Diceros bicornis minor: one gene and its partners. The protein of the gene in region 3 purifies or fractionates together with the protein of the main gene of each other region. This does not show direct contact. Links are inferred from orthologs where the notes say so. Each region holds a gene or a part of one and is shown on either strand. Other genes may lie near its edges.

Region 1 (8,088 bases), on a different chromosome or scaffold from region 3:
CAAGTGCTGTTTTAGGACCTGAGGATATGAGAGTGAACAAAACTAAAGTTTCTGCTCTCATGAAGCCTACACACTTTTCAGAGTGGGAAAGAGATAATAAATATATTATATATCAGGCTGTGATAATTGCTGTGAAGAAAAAGCAGGAAAAAGGGATGGAGTGTGTGCTATTTTACATAGAGTAGTTTGTGCAAGCCTTGCTGTTAAGATATTTGAGCAGGGACCAGAAGGAAGTGAGGGAGAAAGCAGTAAGGGTATCTGAGTGTGGTCAGTAGCCTCTAAGACGGTCCCCAATGACTGCCACCTCCTTATTCACGCCCTGTGTAGGCCCCTTCCCTAAGTGTGACTTACTGACTCCCTTCTAAAGAACAGAATACGGCAAATGTGAAAGATATCACCTCTGAGATTAGATTGCAAAAAGACTGACTTCTGGCTTGGCCACCCTCTCTAGCTTGTTTGTCGTGGGGGAAGCAAGTTGTCACATTGTGAGAGAGCCATGGAGGAGCCCATGTGATAAGGGATGGAGAAGCTTGCCAACAACCACTGGAGTAAGCTTGAAAATGGATCCCCAAAACCTCAGTTGAGATTTCAGATAAGAGAACAGCTCCTGTTCACAGCTTGACTGCAACCTCTCAAGAGACCCTGAGCCAAAGGCACCTAGCTAAGCTATACCCCTGATTTCTAACCACAGAAACTATAAGATAATAGATGTTTATTAAGCCACTAGGTTTTGGGGTAGTTTGTTATTTTACAATAGATAATGATCTTGGAGAAAGGCATTCCAGGCAGAGGTTACAAGTAAGTGCAAAGGCCGACATGTGCCAGATGCACTTAAGGAATAGCAAAGAGGCTGATATGGCTGCTGTAGAGTGAGCAAGGGATAGAAGCAGAGATCAGGGAAGGTGGATGGGGTTGGGTCTGATTGTGACTGAGAAGCCACTACAGTTGTCTAGAACTCTCTCTCATGAGGGTATCCTATAAGACACATTAAGGCATAAAATATTAACAATTCTTTTTAGTTTTCTCTGTGATGCTTGCTTGTTAAGCCACATTGATCTCTAACAGGCTAAATTTCAGATAATTTCATACCATTTTTTTTGCACTAATATGGTCTGGCTTGGAAAATGAGAGAGGAAAAGGGGAAAAATAATAAACAATGGGCAAAAGAGTCACCTACTGAGGTCCTCTGAAGAATACTAAACCAACCCAGGTCTCAGCGGGATGAAACCCTAGACTCAATTGAGAGGAGGGTAAGGTATGATTAACAGGTCTAACTGCTACCAGATTTTGGACACCAGTATAGGACAGACAATGAGGCCATGGAGAAAACAGCTCAAAGCAAAGCAACATTACCTGCTTTCTTTCCCAACAAACAGATGGACAGATGTACTCAGCATCTGCATACACACGGTCAGGGAAGCTTAGACCTGAGATAATGACATTAGTCAAGACTTTGGTGTATCCATCTCTTAGTTTAATCCTTAAATCCTTACTCCAGAGTTACATTGTAGGCAACTTCCAAAATATTATCTGACTAGAGTATTTGGTAAACAGCCCCACTGTTGGCTGAAAAACTGGCCCTAAAGAACAAAATCTAAGAACCATCATTAGAGATGCCTAATCATGTTGCAGCCCTCTCAGAGGTAGGTGGCTTCATAGAAGGTGTTAAGACTTAGCTGAGCTTTAAAAAAATCACTCTAAAATGAGGTGCAAATAAACACTGTAGAAGAAGCTATATTAAATCTTCCTCTTAGAGGTTCTCTTGGTGCTAGGGACGAAGAAAATTCATAAAGACCAATTTTCTCAGTATAGACTGTATCACTATTTGGCATAAAATGAAGCCAGAGACCAAACTCAATTTCCTAATTTTCTTTTACAAGGTACCCAGAAAGGTGGTCATAACTTTATTTTCAAGAATTTGGTAAGGAATTGTAGTTTTCAGTTTGGAAAGTAATCCTGGACAAAGGACAATATGCTTTCAAGAATGAAGCACCCGGCAGTGGCTTAGTGGTTAAGTGCGCGTGCTCCGCTACTGGTGGCCGGGGGTTGGGATCCCAGGCGCGCACGGACGCACGGCTTCCCTGGCCATGCTGAGGCCGCATCCCACATACAGCAACTAGAAGGATGTGCAACTATGACATACAACTATCTACTGGGGCTTTGGGGATAAAAAGGAGGAGGATTGGCAATAAATGTTAGCTCAGAGCCAGTCTTCCTCAGCAAAAAGTGGAGGATTAGCATGGATGTTAGCTCAGGGCTGATCTTCCTCACAAAAAAGAAAAAAAAGAAAAAAAAGAATGCAGCACGGGATCATCACACCAATTACCCAATGAGTACAGAACCAAATTCTGAAGGAAATAAGTTGTCCTAGGACAAAGCACTGTTTACCCTACTCAGAGGTCAAAAGAAGATAGGTCTATTTTTATCCTTTCATAAAACCTCAGTTCCATAAAGAAGGAAGCACTGGCCTCCACAAATCCATTATCAGGAACAAAATATGATGATTGTTGATCAAGATAAAAGTGACCAACATATCTTTTCCAGAAAAGTTCTGAAATGAGTCTGATCACTATCAGCTGATTCATGAGGAAAAACAGAAGAAAAACCGGAAAGTGTCCTTGTTGGGGGCAGAGGCAGTAAAACCGCTCTCTCCCACCCCCTCACCCCCGTTACCTACATTGGAGGGAGCTCCCTGCACTTGGAATCAGGAGACCCTATTCCATTATGGCCTCTGTGAGGTGTGTTTTTTTTCTTTTTACTGTGAGACCATAGTGAAATCTGGACCCTCGGAACGTTTTTTCGAAATGCAAAGGACTTTGGCACCAGCATGTCACAGGTGGGGGAATTAAGGTGCAGAGAGGAGCAATGACTTGCCTAAACTCACAGCCCATGGCAGAACTAGAATTCAAACCCAGGTCCCTCACACTGTAAAAGCGCTCACTAACCACTCCGATTTCTCGCGAGTAAAGAGAGGAATAACGACGTCCACACAGCATTGCTTCCGAAAACTTGGAAGGCTCAGATGCGGGTCAAGCAGCTGAACATCACTTCCTAAAGCGCCACAGCGGCGTGGAAAATTATTTCCATCTAAGTGGAGATGAAGAGGCTGGGCTGCAGCCCCAGCCCCAGGAAGCCCCTCAGTCCTCCACGCCAGGCTCCCCCATCCAGACCCCACTCCACGCGCAGATGCCCGCGGGACCAGCGCGGCCCAGCCCCGGGACGGGGGAGGGGAGGGGGGCCGTGAAAGGAGGGGGCACGCGCGCCCCGCCCGGACTCACCTGTCACCCGGGCCGCGCCAGGGCGCACGCGCGGGGCCGGCGATCGTGCGCGGAGTCAGCGCCGGAGTCCCCGACCCTTCCCTCTCCGCTGGGGTCTTCTACCTCCAGCCCCGGATCGCAAGCCGGCCAGAACCCGGCTTCCGCCCCTGGCTCCCGGGGCCATCACATGACCACAGGGGAGGAGAGCAGAGCGGGGTGTCATGTGACCACTCGCGGGCAACGGCTGATGACGTCGGAGCCCGCGCTCGCAGTTTCAGCGACGGGGCAGGGAGTTAAGGAAGGAGTGGGGGTCCGGGTGTGGGGAGTCGGGGTGCAGCCAGACGGAGCTAGGTCGGGCAGCCAGGTAAGGCAGAGGCGGGGGCTGGCGATGGGGAGGGCGGCGGGAGGTGTCGCCTCCCTCTCGGGCGCTCCGCGGGTGCCTTGACCTGGGGTCTGTCGACCTGGGTTATGGTCCTGGTTCTTTTCACGCCAGAGCAGTGAGGCTGGGACAGTTCACCTCCCTCTCCGAGACGCCATCTGCCCATCCTTCAGCCCTAAACGTGTGGGGAAAAGATGACGAATTCTTGATCCAAATAAATCTGGTTTGGACTGTCTTTAAAAGCAGGGCCTTGGGCGTGTCGTTTAAATAAACTCTCTGGGCCTCCGTTTCCTTTTCTCGTATGTAAATGGCTGTGAGGATTAGCGACAATGAGAATGAAGCCCGGGGGCACCGGTTTATGGCACACCGTGGGAGATCTGGAAATGGTGGTTGCTGTTATTGTTGTGACTCTGGCCAGATCTTGACTGATCGTCTATTTTGTGTCAGGAGCTGTTTCAAATGCTGTAGAATATGTCCGAGTTCTAGTTTAAGTTGCTCCCAGGGTGAAGGAGTGGCAGACATGTGAGCAAAGAGTTGTGATGAGTTTTATTGAGTTTTTTAATAGAAGTGTGTGCGTGAGAGAGAAGGAGAGAGAGAGGGAGAGAGGAATAGTGGCAGCATAAGGGAGGGAACAAGCAATTGCTTATATAGATAAGGGAAGGCTTCATCAAGAAACATGTGTTCCTGCATCTTGAAAAAGGAGCTACAGCTCTGGCTGAACTTGTACGGACTCCCATGCCCACCAAGGAGGTGGGCATAGTGCCTATAAATTGGTTGCTCTGTGCCTACCACTGTGCTGTACAGACAGAGAAGAGGAGGGAACAGTAGAGAAGAAATGGTATTAGCCAATAATGGGTCCTGCCTGCAGAGAATCTTATAGACCTGCTATGGTCTGAATGTGTGTGCGCCTCCAATTCAGATGTTGAATCCTAATGCCAGTGTGATGGTATTAGGAGGCGGGGCCTTTGGGAGGTGCTTAGGTCATGAGGGTTGAGCTCTTGGGAATGGGATTAGTGCTTTTATGAAAGAGGCTGCAGAGAGCTCCCTTGATCCTTCTACCAAGTGAAGGCAAAGAGCAGAAGGCATGGGCTGTGAACCCATGCCTTGATCTTGGACTTATAGCCTTTAGATCTGTGAGAAACAGATTTCTGTTGTTTAAAAGCCACCCAGACTGTGGTATTTTATTACTGCAGCCTGGATGGCATAAGGCAAGGCCTGTTTACGGGAGGCAAAATAACATGCTAGGGAAAAACTGGGGAAATGCATAACCTTGTTTTAAACTTTGTTGGAGACCATAGGTACAGGGAACAAAAAGATCATTGATTGCCACCTGGGAAGGCTCCAAGAGGAGGCTGATTTAAACCAGAGTTTCTCAACTACTGCACTATTGATATTTCGGACCACATAATTCTTTGTTGTGAGGGCTGTCCTGTGACTTATGTACTTAGCTGTACTTTGTGGGAGAAATAGGGAAAAGTGTGTCTACTCCATCTTTGTGCCCCATCCATTCTCTTTGCTTCTTATCTGAATCGTTTCCGTTGATATACTCACAGAAGGCAGTGACCGTGTGTTCCCTAGCTCTCTGCAAGTATAAAGTTTCATTGGAGTAATGTGAATTATGAATTCAGATAATAAGGATAGCTACCATGTGGTAGACACTTTCCATTTATCCCAGATTGTATTAATCCTTGTGTACGTTGTGTCTTAGTCAGCTTGGGGAGAGACACAATCAGAGACACAAGATGAGATTTATGTGCTGGGCGTTGTTCTTAGTGTGTTGTTATCTATATTAACTCATTCAATCCTCACAGTAATCCTTGTGGTAGCCACTGGATCATCCTCCTTTTACAGAAGGGAGAAGTGAAGCGTTGAGAGGTTAGATAATTTGCCTAAAGTCTTTCAGCTACTTAAGTGGCAAAATCAGGCTTTGAACTCGGGTACTCTGGCTTCAGAGGCTGGGTGTTTAACCCCTACTCTGTATTGCCTTCATATTCTGCTCTGTAATGTAGCTAATGATGGTTCATGTTATCTTTAGGTAAAATTGATATTCCAGGAAACATATCCTGTTTATTCTGTGGCTTTGCCCCTTCTTGCTTACCCCATGGTTCATATATATGGTATACTTGGATAATTGTGTCTCTAGAACCGTGCTGACTAGTGCAGTAGCCACTAGGCACATGTGGCTATTCAGATTTAAATTGGTTAAAATTAAATAAAATTTAAAACTCAGTTCCTCAGTCATGATAACCACGTGTCTAGTGCCCTAGACAATTTAGACTTAAACTGGAATCAAGACTGACTAGAAAACTGAATACTTGAACCATATGATTTGATTCTTGCAGGATTGTGTTTTTTTGAGTAACAGTTGGTGCTGTAACAGGTAAGCCCCAAAACCTAAACGGCTTTGCACAATTGAAGTTTTTATTTCTTTCATGCGTGGAGCCTGATTGGCGGGCAGTTTTCCGCCAAGCAGTGATATAGGAACTAGGGATTCTCCATCTTCAGTATAGAGCATCTAAGGTCACTGTGCTTGCCTGTTCAAGCTATCAAATGGGAAAGAGTGTGGAGAAAGTTTATATAGACTGGGCCTGGAAATGGCTCATATTTCATTGCCTTGAATTCAGTCATATGGCCATAGCTAACTGCAAGGAAGGCTGCAAACTGTGGTCTAGCTGTATAACCAGATTGAAGAGGAAATGGGTTTGGTGGGCACCGAGCTGGTATCTACCCCAAGTGTCCTGTCTTTAGCTTACCCTGAGGAATAACCTAAGAAACAGTCCTAGGAAGCTCACTGTTGCATTTATTGTAAGGATATTATTGAGAATATTTTTCAGTATGAGTTTTATTGTCTTATATATGATGGTCCACACTGCCTTGATTGCCATGGAAAGCCTTATTTTTCCCAAGTTCCTGATGTACTTTTTCTTTATGGGGAAAGAGGATTCTGTAGCTTTCACTTTTTGCTTTGATTGTCAGGAAGCTCATAGCCAAATTTGTATTACACATGTAGTAAAAATTTTCTTCTTTACCTGTTTTCCCCTTTAGTTTGTTTTCCATCCTGATTTTCATGCATTTATATTATATATTTCCCATCTTACTGCATATATTTGTATTTATATTGTGTTAACTGTCTCAGCTTGTTTGGTGTAATAATGTGAGACTGTAAATAAATACTCTTTCACCAAAATGCAGATGTTCAAAAATCATCAATGGTTTCTCATTTGTATTCATAGTCATATTTTTTCTCTCTCTTTTGGTGTGGAATTTTAACATCACAGAAGGTCCCAGAAAATAACATAATGAGAACCCTGTTCTATCATCCGGATTTTAATATCTATAACATTTTGCCATGTTTGTTTCAGTTCTTGATTTTTAAGATAAATTTTTAAAAAACAGATAAAGCTAAAAGTCCCATTGACTGCCCCCCTGGACCCAACTGGACCGATTCTTTATCCTGCACTTAAGACCCTCTACGTTATGCTCCAAAACATTACTTACTGAATATTTGTTAACTGAATGATTTGAATTGAAGAAGAGTTGTATTGTGGATGTTTGTAATAGACTAAAACCTCAAAAATAGAGATCAGCATCATGGGCATCTTTTCTATGCCCTTCCCTTTGTATACCCTGTGTCTTTTTTAGAGTCTAATGATTGACATGGTAAGGCACTCAATACCTATTTGTTGAATGAATGAATGAATGAATCTAATTGAAAAGGGCCAATAGTTAAGAAACTACTGTAGTACTCCAGGTGTGAGATAAAAGTGGTGGCAATGGAGAGGATGGAAATGCCAGAGATACTAGACAGTTTCCCATGTTAGAAAGGAAGGGCAGGAGGGCAAGTCCATGCTAATTAATTGTGTACTGTGTGCTGGACCACATTGTGATATTCCTTCTCATTTTAGAGACAGTAAACCTGAGGTTCAGAGAGGTTTATGCAATCAGCCCATGGTCACTCAGTAGTAAAGTGACAGAGCCTGAATTCGTGCTCTGTCTATATGATTCTAAGAAAATACCTTCTTTCTGCTACCATACAGCTTTCCCATCCCTCTAAGCCTGTATAAATTCTCTCCACTTTTCTAGTTGGTTTCAGTGGATTGAATTTCAGGTGGTTTCTGAATTAGGCAAAGACATCTGTAGACAGCTTTCCATAAGTAGTCCAAAGGTTAAAGAATTGGTGGTTGAAGGTATAGATTAGGGAGTGTTTAATATGAAGATAAGAACTGAAACTGTTATAGTGGATCAGATATCAGAAGATAAGAGTTTATAGAGAAATTCTGCTTTTACTGAAACAGAATCGGGGATCTCACCAAGTCTGTAATCTATTAGAACCCAGAGGAATTGTCAGGAATAAATATTTTTTAGTTTTCAGAATTCAATATGTATATATGTTAGATAAATTAAAAATTACAGGTTTTCAGAATCCTCCCTTATTTAACTACGTTATTGTCA
Region 2 (7,416 bases), on a different chromosome or scaffold from region 3:
TCCTCATCTGTGAAATGGCAGAAGTAATAGAACTACCGTATAGGATTTGGGGGAGGGTCAGATGAAATAATGTATGTGCTTAGCACAGTGTCTAGCACAAACTAAGCATTCAGTGCCAGCTGATTATTTTAATTCTCATTATTATAATGTGAAGCAGTGACTTTTAAATTTTTTTTTTTGCACAGTAAGAGATGTTTTACATTGTCATCCAGTATACATTACAAATATGTTTAAGTTTTAAAGTAATTCATGAATCAATGTTTAGACTTCCCATGTGTAATGCATTCTTATATTTTTTATTCTATTTTATTTAGAAATGCTCGTTGAGATCCACTAAATGATTTCACATCCTATTAATGGGTCAGGACCTGCAGTTTGAAAAGCACTAATGTAAAGGATGATAGGATTAAGTGCATTAAAGAAAAATTTGTTATTGAATCTTTATATTATTCCTTCTAATGATTTACAACATCAGTTGGAGTTTGAATATTAAATTACATTGAAAATAGGTTCTTAAACATCTCTTAGTAATTACAGTCATTTAGTATTTATTATGGTCTAGGTACTGTGCTAAACAGTCTGTTTATATATGTTATCTAATTTAGTGCTCACAACAGCCTGTAATTTGGCCTTGTGTTTCCATTTGATAATTGAAGTTAAGACTCAAACAGGTTTTATTAACTTGCTCAATGTCATAAAGTTAGTGAGAGATGAAGCAAGAATTCAGACTGAGTTCTGTTTGACCCCAGATCTCTCTGCTCTCCCCCACACTCCGTTCTGATGTTCTCTCACAGTGATTTCTGAAGGTGTATCAGTTTTCTTTTACATAAATTTGAATGGCAATATTGAAAATTACCCATTGTAGTACATCTCCTGTAGTTTCCTTTCAGGACCCATTTAAAGAAAATTTTCAACTTAGTAAAGTAAGAAAGCATACTGAGTAGACTAGTAATTCATTTTGACTTTGGCTGATCTTTGATATAAATAGTTTGGAATAGCTTCTCAGGTTTTTATGATAGAGTCAATTAATTGGTTAGTTTTATTGAACATCCAAAGGTTTAATATAGCTTCAGAAGAGACATGAAATAGCTGTGTAACGATAAAAGGACTTCATTACAAATGAATGTCAGCTTTTGTTAAGGCACAAAATGAAGACTTAAGAGCTACAAAGAGTACTTAATAGTATATTGATTTGCCTCAGCATCACCAGGCAGTAAAAGTATTTATTTTGTAAACTACTTGTAAGAAACTACCACTAACTGTCCTGTTAATTTTTTTGTGTGTGTTTCAGTTTTTTGCAAATGTTTCTTAAATTTTTAGCAGTATTTTAACTTTAATTTTTTGGTACTTCTGGAACTTCCTTCCTTTTTTAAAAATATTATCAGAAAACCTTAAAGAGGGCTGGCCCCGTGGCTTAGTGGTTAAGTGCTCGCACTCCGATGCTGGCGGCCTGGGTTTGGATCCCAGGTGCGCACCGATGCACCGCTTCTCCGGCCATGCTGAGGCCGCGTCCCACATACAGCAACTAGAAGGATGTGCAACTATGACATACAACTATCTACTGGGGCTTTGGGGGAAAAATAAATAAATAAATTAAATTAAAAAAAAAAAGAAAGACAAAGAATATTTTAAGGAAATGCAGTTTATAAATGATACTTAGAATACACAAATAGATGATTTTAAATGACAATGGAAAGGCAAATTTCACTGTTTCTTTCACAATTATATCTTATAGATTCAGATCCTTTATTTGATCCTAGATTTGATTTGTGTATTGCTGTCGACATGTAGGAGTTACCTTATAAATAAGATGATTCCAGGTGCTTAAAGATATATAAATATGCTCCTGTGTTTGCATTATAGATAGCTTCTGTGTACATGGAGCTTTAAACTTTTAGCCGTAGGTTTAAACAGTTTATTTGTTGAATTAAGGTTAGTCTTTTCAAAAGTGATCATCTTAAAATCAGAGTTTATGTAGATCATGATATATTAGACAAAGAACAGCAGTTTCATGGTTTGTTTATGTAGTTTGTAAATCCATGTTTCTCTTCATCGGTCATTGTTTCCTATTAAGATTAGATGAACTTAAATATATTGTTTCATTTATTGTTTTTTTTTGTGTGTGTGTGAGGAAGACCGGCTCTGAGCTAATATCTATTGCCAATCCTCCTCCTTTTTTCTTTCCCCCAAAGCCCCAGTAGATAGTTGTATGTCATAGTTGCACATCCCTCTAGCTGCTGTATGTGGGACGCAGCCTCAGCATGGCCGGAGAAGCGGTACATTGGTGTGTGCCCGGGATCCGAACCCCGGGCCGCCAGTAGCGGAGCATGCGCACTTAACCGCTAAGCCACCGGGCTGGCCCTGTTTCATTTATTGTTGAATATCAGATTTCATCCTTAGGTTAGCCCTCAAAAAATTATTTTGCCCCTAATGAAATATGTACAAATGTAGTAAGCTTACTTTTTATGCTTATTTTATTAATTTATTTCTTTTGTCTAACACCTGACCCTTCATGAATTGGTATAGTTTTTGTAGCATCAATAAGCGTTCCAGCTATTAAATGGTCACTGTAATTTGTATGTTCAGGCAGATACTAACCTTGGTTACCATTACATTTTGTACTACTTTTATTGTTGATGTGAAAACTCTTAGAGATCAGAAGGGCAAAATCAATTGATATTTACTTGTGCTAGTGGCTTTGAGGCAGATACATATGCATATTTTAGGTTTACATATATGTATGATTTCTACAGATGTGTGAGAAGTGCAAGATTACAAACTCTTAATCCATAAATAAAAAAATTATCTTAAGTAACTGTGGAAATAAAAAAACTAAGTAAAAAACTTTGAGTTGTTGAGTGCCTTATAATTAGTCACGTTATCAGAAATATTTAAGAAGCCACATAGAACAACCGTATGTAATAGCTTTTATATTCCTGTAAGTTTGTATGTGGAAAGGTGATTCCATTTAAAATGTCAAAAATGAAAAGCAGAAATATTTTCAATCAACTTTTCAAATCTTAGGGGCTGGCCTGGTGGCACAGTGGTTAAGTTCGGCATGCTCTGCTTTGGCGGCCTGGGCTTACAGGTTCAGATCCCAGGTGTGGACCTGTACCACTTGTCAGGCCATGCTGTGGCAGCGACCCACATACAAAGTGGAGGAAAGACTGATGTTAGCTCAGTTAGCTCAGGGCCTATCTTCCTCACACACACACACACACAAATTTAAGTCTTCACCAGCTCTTCTGGATGTTTGTGGAATTTTTTCAGTTAATGTACTTTGAGACTTAAGTGGTATTTCAATAACCTTGCTTCTGAAATTGGTGCTATATTAAATATTAAGTGTTTGAAGAAAAGATACACAAAGTGCATCCCTGAAAGACTTTGGGAAATATTTAAATCAGAAGTAAGTACTCAGTTCAGTAGAGACAGGTGGTTAGAACAGAATTTAAGAGCAGGGGCCAGCCCAGTGGCGCAAGTGGTTAAGTGTGTGCACTCCGCTGCGGCGGCCCGGGGTTCGCCGGTTTGGATCCCGGGCACGCACTGACGCACTGCTTGTCAAGCCATGCTGTGGTGGCGTCCCATATAAAGTGGAGGAAGAGGGGCACGGATGTTGGCCCAGGGCCAGTCTTCTTCAGCAAAAAAAAAAGAGGATTGGCAGATGTTAGCACAGGGCTGATCTCCTCACACACACAAAAAAAGAATTTAAGAGCAAATAGTAGCTGCTAAGAGGAATTATTGCAGTAACAAGAAAGAAAGGACAACTTGCTGAAAAGGCGTTGGGCTTTTTATCAGGGAAGGTAGGAATAGCTCACCCAGGAGTCCACTGGCTTCAGCCCACTCACCTGGTGAGGGATTGGCTGGCACTAAGAGGGTGAAGGGGAGCAGGCAGGGAGGGGGAGCAACAGAGAAACTTGGTTATTATTTAAATCTAGGATAAGCTGGATTCAATAAATAATTTGTGAAAATTCTTGTATGTAATTTTTAACCCACAGTTTCCTCACTTGGGAGAAATAAAAAGTCCATGGTCCCAAGATCACTGTTTTTGGAAGAGGAAACATCAGAACCCCATTGTCAAAGCCATTTATCGTCTCAGGTGGGGCCACCGCTGATGTTCTTAGGGAGGTTTGTGACAGATTCAGCAGAGCTGGTAAGACACTGCTGATGAATTTCTTCATTTTGAAAAGTTCTCTTAATAAATTTAGAGTGATTTTTTTTCTCTATGAGAGTATCATTGTGACAGACCCAGTGGGCTTTCTTGGTACTGTTTATGATGCAGCTGCCTGGGCATGGTTGTGATGGGTTAACTGTTTTCTAGAGTTAATGAGGTCAGGGTCACAGGTTCAATTCCTGTGAAGGCCAGTTAGCTTTGCTTTGTTCTCTGATCTCATATTGTACTCTTAACCCAGACCAGCCATCTGGCGAAGGCAGATCATTGATCACAAAGGGACTAATAAGCAAGACAGTGTGTGAGGAGCAGCAGGAATCGTTCTCAGTGGATGTTGAGTAATTAGAGAAACAGTTCCAAAAGCATGTGCAAATTTGTGTTTCATAGCATTATCTTGATATGTGGAAGATAACATGATTGTCACATAATTTTCTTTGTCGTTTCTGTTGAACTCTCATTTTAACGGTTGTTTTTTCTAGCTATGAGTTTTCAGATGTCTCATTCATTCAGCAGTTACACATTGTCCTGAATGTTCTGAACTTCCCTCTAGGTGTGTAGGACAGCGACTGTGGTAGCGTGGTCAGGGTAAGTGTCTGAAAGTAGTAGATCACATCTCCTAACTCAGTTGTTTATAGACCCAACTCCACTGAATTACAAAATAAAAGTTAAAAAAAGCAAAACACCATTTTGAATGAGAATAAATAGACTGGCAAGATCTAGGGAAACACTGTATAGTTTTTCTAAGTACACTTTGATCTACAAATCTCTTATTCCCTTTATTAAAATTACTTATAATATCAGGAGAAATGTCAGAGATCATCTAGACGGTAGCCACTGGTCCCATGTGGCTATCGCCCAAATTGAGATGTGCTGTAAGTTTAAAATACACACTGGATTTCAAACACTTGGTATGAAAAAAGAATGTAAAATACACCAGTAATAATTTTTTAATATTGATTACATGTTGATACAATGTTTTAGCTATGTTAGATTGAGTAAAATGTTATTACAATTTTATGTTTCTTTTTACTTTTTTAAATGTGCCTACTAGAAAATTAAAAACTACATATGTGGCTTGCATTTATGGCTTGCAATATATTTCTATTGGGCAGCACTGTTCTAGAGCAAACCCTCATTTTACAGATGAGAAGACTAAGGTTCAGAGGTTAAGTAACTGAGCTGAGTTCTTTCCATTGCCTGTAATCTCTCCCTGCTAATAGGTTAGGTACTCAAGAAGATAGGAACTCTTTGAACCATTAGAGGACCATTTAGTGCACGGCAATTATCATTATGTTGCAAGATCTGTGCCGGAGTCATTGCATATTAGGTGTTATGTCAGTAGTGAGTGTGTGTGTGTGTGTGTGTGTGTGTGTATATACACACGTGCCCACATCTATAAGAGGGGGACTTTGTTTTGTTTGCTATGTTGATATTTAGGCTCAGTTTTACCTTCCTATATAGGTCAGAGGCCCTACAACTTTATTTAGTTCTGAGAAAAGCACATTAAAATATTAGACGTAAAATATTAGACGTTAACAGTTGTAACTATGAGATAAATAAGATATGATGCTCATTGAAGTGGGTACTTCAATATATATTTCTTATTACAGAGAAGGTTTCAGACAGTTTTGAATGAACCTTGATGGACAAAGCAGCAAGGTTTTCAGGCTGTATCCCTTTTGGAAGGAGGAGAACTGAAGTGAAGAGAGATTCTTAGCCTGTGTTGTGAAGAAAGAGCTTATTATGGGCTGTTACTTACTCTCTCTTAACCATGGATGCTCCTGACGTTCCAGTTGAGGAGGAAGTAGCCAGGATTGGCTGGCGCAAAAGCTGTGGCCCCAGAGTGTGGGCTTCCCGTCAGTTTTGTGAGCATAATGGTCTTTACTTGGCAAAGATATAAAAGAAGAAAACCTCAGGACGAAATTTGTCTTCTGTTATTTTTAGTTAAGATTTTTGTTTTCTTGATCAACATAGGCAGCTCAAATTAACATCTTAAAGATGTTTACTTTATGCAGCTTCGGATCTAGTCTTTCTTTTTGGCCCTCACGGAGTTCTAAGTCACTATCAGTTTGTTTTCAGTGACTCAGTGACAACTAGTGAACAATGACTTTGTCAGGCAACCTCTGACACTTCAATTAATCTCATCACCTGTACTAGCTAGTAATGTGCATGAATTTATCCTTTTAGTAGGGATAATGTGGAGGTTGAAAGAAGATATGTAATTACTTCCACAATGGTGGCTTATAAAAATATTTCCAGATTATCATTTTTCTATGCTTTTTGTCTGTTACAAACAACCAGTGTTGATCCTGGGTACAGAGAAACAAAGCAAGATAGCAATCTCTGAATGGTCACCTTCGAGTAGACCAAAATAAGTACCTCTGTCCTGTGGTGTGAAGTTTAATGGAAAGTGCCGTGACCATCCACATCCCATCCAGCCTGAGTCATCATAAACCCAGTTTATCTCATGTCAGCAGGCATGTATTGAGTACACACCGCGTGCTGGGCACTGTGGGCATAGCATGAAAATAATGAAGGCTGGGGGAGTACAGATCACTTGAATGGCAAAGTATTCATCACTTTTGTTGTAGTTTCTAGTTTGAGAAAAGAATGTGGCATTTTTACATTGTTGCAGAATGACTGCATTATGATTTATGTTCTACAGTTCACTAGCTGATTCCATGTACTGTCGTGTTTCATGTCGTGTCCCATTTCTAGCAGTAACTGATTTTTTCCTTGGGGTCATTGGGGCAGGCAGTTGGGATACGGGGAGGCTTGTGGTCACCTGGGGAATCACTGAACATGGGAGGGTGGCACATGTCTTCTGTATGCTCTCCTTTTGCCCTGCTCCAGCTCTTTATACCAGGCACTGTGAAGTTGCTGGTGAATATAAAAATGAAGAACTCACAGTCTAGTGAAGAAGAAAGACAAGGCAGAATGTCAAGTATGCTATGATAGGTCAGCGTGCTATGGGAACTCAGAGGAAGGAGTGATTATTCTGGAGAAGAATGACAGAATGAGGAAAGATAAGGAGGAAACTCACAGAGGACGTATTTGAGCCGAATCTTAAAGGATGGGTGGTTGGAGAGGGGATCCCAGAAGTAGGGAACAGAGTGAGCAAAGGTATGGCAAGCATGAAAGCTGGTGTCCTGAGGAGGCAGGAGCGTTGGGCATGGAAGGGAGTGGCAGGAGACAAGACTAGAAAAGTGGGTCAGGTAAAGTTCGGAGAGATTTGAGAAAAGAGTACT
Region 3 (8,481 bases):
AGATCTTTCAGTTGTCATGGATATCGGTGTAGAATCTCTGTCAGGGGTCATAACATTCCCAGGGAACTCAGAAGAACAAAGTTATCATCTGCTGGGAAGTACATACACAAGCAGGGGCCATAAAATCTACAGAGCATGTATATCTCCTACAGGTCGCATATCCAGTTGGGTTAATTAGTCAGAGGTCAAAGTTATAGTATGGTTTCTTCTCTACAATATGGCTTCCTTTATGTCAACCTTGTGTTGAGCCAGTATCAAACCAACGTGCATGGGAATGATGAACAGATTCGGGTTGATGGTTACCCATGGGAAGAAGAAAAGGGAATGGGGTCTGGAAGGGGTAAACTATGCTTTTTTGTGTATCTGACATATTTTGTAATAATAATTCAAATAAGTAAATGGAAATAAGTAGAAGCTTTAGTATTTCCTTGCTTCACCATTAAGGATCACCTTGGGTGTTCGTCATGCCCTGTTCTTCATTTGGGACATTGTGTGAAAAAGCTGAAGTGACAGAGAAATTAAAGAGCACGAAATCAATTAGAGAGACAGATATTTAAGTGGTGATTGAATATAGAGTAGTAAACAGCAGGAGTATTTGTATGATTTGGGGGTTGCTGGGAAAAGTGTTTGCTCCCCGGTTCTGGAGTCCCAGAACCACATTTTAGGGCAATCTCTAAACCCCATATGGGTGGCTAGCTTAATTTTTCAGCTTCTGTTTAGGGATATGAAATGAAAGAGTCATTCAATCAATCTGGATTCCAGCAAAGCTTTTTAAAGCACTTATGTGCCAGTCTCTGTATTTGTCAGATAACTAACTGAAACTTAGGTCACATCCTCACAGAGCAGATTAGTATTATAATATGATGATTACAGCTAACATTTGTTGAGACCTTTGCCAAGGCCTGCAATGAGTTCTAAGCACTTTGTCTGCACCATGTCATTAAATCCTCACAACAGTCCTATGAGGGAGGTACCATTATTATCCCCAATGTATAGATGAAGAAACCGAAGTTTCCAGAGCAAGTTGCCCAAGTTACCTAGAGCTGGAACCAAGATCAAGACCCAGGACTTACTGATTATAAAATCTGTACACTTCACCACTAAGGTACGTGGCTAAAATACATGGAAAACTTTCTATGGGAATCTAGAAGAAGAAATTACTAGCTTTAACTAGAGGGTTCAATGCAGGTTGCGTGGAAAAAGGGATAACTGAACTGAATTTTAAAAAATAGGCAGCAAAGAACATTTCAGAAAGAGCTGCCACAGAGGCATGAGAGACGGTGATGCATAGGTAAGTTGCTTTGTGTGTTTCAGTGACATGTGCATTTGGGGCAGTGGCAGAGATGGGTTTTGATGAGGTTGGTAGCAACCAAATTATGAAGGACAGCATATTCAGGAGAGAGGAGTTACTGAAAAACAAGTTTCTTCAATAATTTCTTGGTAGTTGTAGAATGATCCATGTCAGGCTTCTCCAGGGGTGCCACTTTGTGGACCTTTTCAAATCCAGCTAAGGAAACAGACTACAGGTAGGACACACTCAACTACAAGTAACCAATAGTTTAGGCAATTATTTGATTTAGAAAAACAATTACTTTAAAAATATGCATGGTTTCTGACACTTTTTTACTGTCATAAAGAATATTATTTGAGACCTATTGTGTTCATTGATTATGAGACACTAACAAACAACAAAATATTAGTTGTCTAACACAGGTAGTTTTTCTTAGAAGTGAGGTAAGCCACACTTCAAACTACAGATATTAGTTTTCCAGTGCAGAGATTAAATGATATGGTGTTTTGGAAGTCTACATCTGGTGTAAACATTTAGTGGTCAGTCATATGTACTGAATATTTATCTTATTATACATTATATAATTAATATATATATGTATAAAATAATGGAAAGAACATGAATCTGACCATAGGGACACTTGGGTTCTAAAATAATATCAGCTAGATGTGCAATTTTTATCAAATCATTTAATTTATCTAAGGCTCAACTTACTTGTAAAATGAGGAGATTGTACTAGATGGACTCTAAGATTGTGATTCTATGAAATTAGGTACCTCTGACCTTGACAAGACTAAAATCTAGTTAAGGACATAGAGCACATCCATAGGAAAATAGATTAAGAAGTATACAAGTAACTTAAATACTACAAAAAGAAGAACTTTAAAAAAAAATCATTTTCTGGTGCAGTTAATTGGAAAAGCCAAGATTACATCACTAGTAAGCATAAGAAAGGTGAATTTGTGGGGCCGGCCTGGTGGCATAGTGGTTAAGTTCGAGCGTTCTTCTTCGGCGGCCCAGGTTTCACAAGTTCGGATCCCAGGTGCAGAACTACCCACCGCTTATCAAGCCATGCTGTGGCAGGCGTTCCACATATAAGTAACCAATAAAGTAGAGGAAGATGGGCACGGATGTTAGCCCAGAGCCAATCTTCCTCAGGAAAAAGAGGAGGATTGGCAACAGATGTTAGCTCAGTGTTAATCATCCTCACCACCCCACCCCCCAAAAATAGGTGAACTTGGGAATTAAATGAGAAAAGGGTAGAAATTCTCATTGAGGAGGTAGAGTTGTGTGTGAGAAGCATATTTTGTTTCTTTTCTCTTCATCATAAAACAACTGATTATCAAGAATACCAATACATTTCTAATTGCAGTCATATAATGGTCATTCCATATTTATACCCATTTCGCGTGACAGCTTGAAATCTTCCCAGAATTCCTAGGTTACGTGAATTCTATAATTTCTTTGAACTGTATCAAGAAAGTGGCATTGGGAGGTTTTTGAAATGATTATCAGAAATTATACAAAATTGCTAGTTGTGTCACCATGGGGAACCACATGTAAAGTATCACCAAGGTTACGATTATAAACATAGTCTGACTCAACTTACTGCAAACATACCATATTTGGGTGAGGTTTCTAGAAGAAGACAGCAGCCAATTAGTCAAGCAACAACATTTACTGAGTACCCACTGTGTACAAATTATTGATGTTCGTGTTGCTGAGTAAACAGAAATCAAAAAACAGAAGAAGAAAAAAAGGGAGTACTGTTGATGCAAGAGGTGGTGGTGAGTAGAACTGATGGGATGGAAGAGAAATCACCCTCATTAATTTTTTTTTTTTTTAATTTTTTTTCCCCCCCAAAGCCCCAGTAGATAGTTGTATGTCATAGCTGCACATCCTTCTAGTTGCTGTATGTGGGACGCAGCCTCAGCATGGCTGGAGAAGCGGTGTGTCAGTGCGCGCCCAGGATCCGAACCTGGGCCGCCAGCAGCGGAGCGCGTGCACTTAACCGCTAAGCCATGGGGCCGGCCCATCATTCAGTTTTATTTGGTGGGAGAGCGCCTAGAATTTAGATAGGGAGAAAGAAAGATCTCCAAGTAAAAAGGACAAGAGATATAGAATAAAATGCCTGGATTCCAATCTCTACTCAGTTAATTAGGAGCTGCGCAATCTTGGACAAATATTTAACCTCAGTTTGGCTCCTGTAAAATGGGTATAGTAATGCCGATAAATACCTTACTTCACGAGGTTGCAGTGAGAAATCAATGAAGTAATGACTTGTAAACTGTAAAAGAGTAAACAAGTTATTTATTTACATCCAGTGAGGTCCTTGGCCAAACTGTATGGTTTATTCTCTGTCACGTCTTCTCTGTACCATTTATCCTCAACAGGACACCTGCTTTTCCCTGCATGTGTCAGCAAGCTTCCCCTTTCTGTTGTCTCCCCAAATGGACTATGAGCTTTTCAATAGCATGGCTTCTGTTTGCATTCCATGCAGAAGAAACAATGATTTGCACACCATGAACACTCAGTAAATTACTTAATAACAGTGTTTTGCATATGAATAGTTATTTCAGCTCTCTAAGGTACTCTCACAAGTGTCATTTACATGCAGTTGTCAGATTCATCTTGCTAGACATATTTGTCACTGTTCAAAAGTTGTCAACAGCTTCTCATTTTCTACTGAATAAAGTCTTTTTTTAATATATATATATTTTTATTGAGATATAATTGACATATAATATTGTATTAGTTTTGGGTATACAACATAATGATTAAAGTCTTAACTTCTATCTAAACTCTAAGGCCTTGCTACTCAAAGTGTGGTCTCCAGACCAGTAGCATTGGCATCACCTGGGAGCTTGTAAATCTGATAAATGCAGATTCTCCAGCCCCATCCCAGACCTACTGAATCAGCAACTGCATTTTTTTGTGTGTGAGGAAGATCAGCCCTGAGCTAACATCCATGCCAATCCTCCTCTTTTTTTTGCTGAGGAAGACCGGCCCTGAGCTAACATCTATTGCCAATCCTCCTCCTTTTTTCTTTTTCCCCTTATTCTCCCCAAAGCCCTAGTAGATAGTTGTATGTCATAGTTGCACATCCTTCTAGTTGCTGTATGTGGGATGCCGCCTCAACGTGGCCAGAGAAGCAGTGCGTCGGTGCCCGCCCAGGATCCGAACCCAGGCCGCCAGTAGCAGAGCGCGAGCACTTAACCGTGAAGCCACGGCAGGCGCCAGCAACTGCATTTTAAAAATATTCCTAGCCAATTCATATATACAGTTTTGACTACATCTTCACTCTCTTGCTAAACTTGAAGCTTCAGAAGCTTTCAGATACAGCAAATAAAAGCAGTAGATATCCAATAAAAACTGAGAACAATGAATAATTTTTTAGTATCTCTCAAGTGCTTCATGGGACATACTTATACTTAAAATATATATTGTTTATTTGAAATTCAAATTTTACTGGACTTCCTGTATTTAATCTGTCAACCCTATTCAGAAGGGTAGGATCCATGTCTAACATAATTTTGTATTTCCCTGCAATCGTACTGTGCCTTCCCCAACTGCTCGATATATGTTTGTTTAAGGAATAGACAACCAGCTTAAGAACTGAGGTTTCTCCGGTTTTTGCTTAGCATTGTATATCTCCAGAGACACACAATAAATGACCAACAAATACTTCTCCAATGAATAAATGAATATACCCAGAACGATCTTCCAATTATGGACTGGGTTGGAGTGCATATTTTAATGAAAGCTGAATATTCTTCTAGTAATTTTTTTAAAACCAGAATGTTTAAAAAGCTTCTATTTGTACACTTTTTCACATTTTAGCTGGCAGAGTTCAGGACTTGATGGGAACATAATCAAGGGCTCAGAATGTACTCGTTGCCGACTGGGTCCATATGGTCACTGGTGGGGAAAGAATCCTATATTACTCAGGAGGATGACAGGCCTCCAGCAGGCTGCCGGAGGCGACTCCTCCGCCCTGCCCCCTCCCCACTCCCCCTCGCTCTGCCCCTTCTTCCTCCCCCGCCTCCGAGGCGCCCGCGCACGCGCACAGCCGCGCTCCAGCCCCGCGGGCCAGACGGAGGGAGGCGGGGCTCCCGGGGCGCGTGCGCGGCGGCCTGGGCTGTGGGCCCCTCCCTTGGCGGGGGCGCGCGGCGCGAAGGACTGCACGGAAAGGGGGAAGTCAGGTGGCCGGTGCCGCCGCCGCCGCCGCCGCCGCCGCGGTTTGTCGCCAGAAGGAAAATGGCGGATCTGGAGGAGCAGTTGTCTGATGAGGAGAAGGTAAGAGCCGCGGGGGCGGCGGAGCCCGTCGGTCCGGAAGCGAGCAGAGCCCTGGCGTATCAGCTCGGAATCTGGCCCCTGGGGAAGGGCATTGGTCTGTGCCCTCGCCCGCCTTTCCTCCTCCTCTCCTCGGTGCGCCCAAGTGCCTGCCCCCGTCAGTCACCCCAGGCCCCGCGCGGGGGCAGGTCTCTGCCCGGCCTGCTCGCTTCGCTCCTTGTAGGGTGTGTGCTCCGAAAATAGGAAGCGAGAGCGGGGCGGCGGCGCCTGGCGCGGCGGGCGGGGGCGGGGGGCGCCGAGGGCGGCGGCTGCGGGGACCCTCTGCCTCCGCCTGGGCCCCGGGGCGTTGCGCCCGCGTCTGGGGACTGCGGACGGGTTTGGGTCCCGGCCTGGGAGCGGCCCAAGGGCAGTGCCCAGCCCGACGGCCTGGCGGGCGAGTGTAGCCGGGGTGAGGGGTAGGGGGAAAAAATCGCTTAGGAAGCAGACCTTCACTTATCCCTTCTACTCCCTCCTCCCAGAAGCAAAATCCTTCCTTTCTTGGTTCTCTACGCTTTTTTTCCTTTCCCCGTGGAAGTCTCTCTCTCTCTCTCTTTTTTCCCTCTTTTCTTTTTTTCGGCTTTAGCTGTAGGCTTTGCAGTTCCCATGTTCCCCTGGAGGCAGTGGAGTTGCTCACAAAAGACCCCCCCCCCCCATAGTAGTTGTTTCCTGCTCAGGTTGGCATTTGGTGGCGTCCCATCGTCCTGCTGGGACTTCTTCCGAAGACGGGAGATTGTGCAACTCCTTTTTACTGTATCTTAGATGCTGTGACAGCATTAGAACCAGATGAACGACTTAAGTTCTTAAGTTTTCAGGCATTTAAAGCAAGAAATCTGATGATCGAACTAGTTCTCTTTAATTCGTCGTTTCCTTTGGCTACTGTGAGGCCCTATTCCATAGTGAGGGGGTGTAGACCCTACTAATTTTGAGTAGTTCCTGGAAGGGACCTTGACATTTCTCAGACTCAGAAGTAACTTATTCATAACTATCTATGAATAAGATAGTTTTGGAAGTGTCCGTTCTTAATTTAACAGTGTTCGTTTTTCGAAGTTCCAAAGCAGTACTGCCATGTATGGAGCACAAACACATCATAGTGTTTAAGAAATCCTAATGTAAGCCTAAGAATATTTTCAGTTGAAACTCTCTGCCCTAAGTGTTTTTATATCCTGTGTTCTTGCACTGGAGTGTAATGTTCAATCTCCTTCCCAATGTGATTGTGCAGCAATGAGCCTCGTCTCAGTTTTGGAAATCTTTTTTTTTTTCTTCTTCTTTTGCCCTTGCTTCTGGTGAAATTGATAATAAAACGACAAAATGGGGAGAGCAGCAAGATTCTCCATAATCCACAGCCCTGGTAGGCAGATCCCTGTATACACGAAAGTTACCTTGTAGCCTTGACATTGGTGAATAACCCTAGGTTGGTAACTGAAGATGTACGCAGGCTCGCACACGCGTATTTAAAATTAACTACTGCTAAAAAGTTTTTTAAAGAGATTGTCCTGTTATATTCTGCTGTTTTTAAGTGGTGGTTAGTAGCTCAAGTGGCTAGAAATCTAGCTGAGAAGAGAGTACTCAGTGTGGGAGTTAATATAGAGCTGCCATGTGTTGTAAAGGCCTAAAATAGCAAAGTTTTTTCAAAATGATATGGCAAGATTCCTTATCCAGCACTCTCAGGGCACTAAGCTCCATGAAGGTGGTAGTGCTGGGGGTGTCTTATTCTCTAAGCTTACCCAACACAGTGTTTTAAGAGTGAATAAATGAAAATTCTAATTTGAAAGAATTTGGTGTTTTTGTTTTTATTTATTTCAAGTTTTGTAAGACTATTCTGTAGATATTTTAAAGATAGATTTCATTGCTATATTTAGTAATTTAAGAAAAATACTGACCAAACTTTTGGGTTACATTCAAGTAACTGGTTAGGTGAAATTCTAATACTCTCATCACTTTAGTTATCTAAATGTACTTTTAATCTTTTGGGAGGAGGATGTTGGGTATGAAATCAGAAATAGGATTTAAAAGTGATATTTTTAAACTAATATTTGAATCATGTTACTCTTTCTGCCACCTTGTTTGTAATTTTCAAAAGTAAGCTTTTAATACTTCTACGCTCTTGGAATTTCCATTATTGGTTGCAGATCTAAGGAAGGGAAGCTGTTAAGACTTATGTAGTACCATACTTTGTATATGCCTGGCTCAGTTAGGCAATACATTTGTTAATTTATTGTGCGTTTGAGGTAGGTTTTATTATTACCATTTACAGGTAAGTAAAATAAGGTTTCAAAAGCTTAAAGTAATTCACCTGAGGACACCTAAGTAGGAAGTGGCAGAAGTGATATTTATTTATTTATTTTTTTGTGAGGAAGATCAACCCTGAGCTAACATCCATGCTAATCCTCCTCTTTTTGCTGAGGAAGACCGGCTCTGAGCTAACATCTATTGCCAATCCTCCTCCTTTTTTTTTCCCCCCTCCAAAGCCCCAGTAGATAGTTGTATGTCACAGTTGCACATCCTTCTGCTTGCTGTATGTGGGACGTGGCCTTAGCATGGCGGGAGAAGCGGTGTGTCGGTGTGGGCCCGGGATCCGAACCCCGGGCCGCCAGTAGCGGAGCGCTGAGCACCCAACCACTAAGCCACGGGGCCGGCCCCCAGAGGTGGTATTTAAACCTGAGTTTGAATCCAAAGTTGATGCTGTTGTGACATTACGCTCCCATAAACAGTTGATAATAGGACCCTCTTCTGGGTTTCTCTTTGTTTTTAATTTATTGACAGCTTATTTGAAAAAGGAAAAACAATATTTCTTTTTGTTTTTAAAAAAAATTTAAATACCAAACATCAAATCGTGTCGGGTTCTAAATTTAATTTGT

Evidence for each region. The genes of interacting proteins can lie anywhere in the genome.
Region 1: the proteins of CAPZA2 (region 3) and WASHC5 purify together in Homo sapiens (affinity purification with mass spectrometry; 3 studies listed by BioGRID and IntAct, counting the BioPlex papers as one, with this or other methods). This does not show direct contact. The link is inferred for Diceros bicornis minor from reciprocal best matches to the Homo sapiens genes CAPZA2 and WASHC5.
Region 2: the proteins of CAPZA2 (region 3) and CRACD purify together in Homo sapiens (affinity purification with mass spectrometry; 3 studies listed by BioGRID and IntAct, counting the BioPlex papers as one, with this or other methods). This does not show direct contact. The link is inferred for Diceros bicornis minor from reciprocal best matches to the Homo sapiens genes CAPZA2 and CRACD.

What each region holds. Positions count from the first base shown.
Region 1 is NC_080760.1:40,396,034-40,404,121, forward strand, and holds the start of WASHC5 (WASH complex subunit 5), read right to left. Parts: upstream 3,415-8,088; 5' UTR 3,279-3,414; intron 1,428-3,278; 5' UTR 1,354-1,427; intron 1-1,353. UniProt on the Homo sapiens protein: Acts as a component of the WASH core complex that functions as a nucleation-promoting factor (NPF) at the surface of endosomes, where it recruits and activates the Arp2/3 complex to induce actin polymerization, playing a key role in the fission of tubules that serve as transport intermediates during endosome sorting.
Region 2 is NC_080747.1:43,716,320-43,723,735, forward strand, and holds the start of CRACD (capping protein-inhibiting regulator of actin dynamics), read left to right. Parts: upstream 1-4,002; 5' UTR 4,003-4,150; intron 4,151-7,416. UniProt on the Homo sapiens protein: Involved in epithelial cell integrity by acting on the maintenance of the actin cytoskeleton. Positively regulates the actin polymerization, by inhibiting the interaction of actin-capping proteins with actin.
Region 3 is NC_080742.1:67,795,594-67,804,074, forward strand, and holds the start of CAPZA2 (F-actin-capping protein subunit alpha-2), read left to right. Parts: upstream 1-5,434; 5' UTR 5,435-5,548; coding exon 5,549-5,587; intron 5,588-5,746; exon of another isoform or gene 5,747-6,010; intron 6,011-8,481. UniProt on the Homo sapiens protein: F-actin-capping proteins bind in a Ca(2+)-independent manner to the fast growing ends of actin filaments (barbed end) thereby blocking the exchange of subunits at these ends.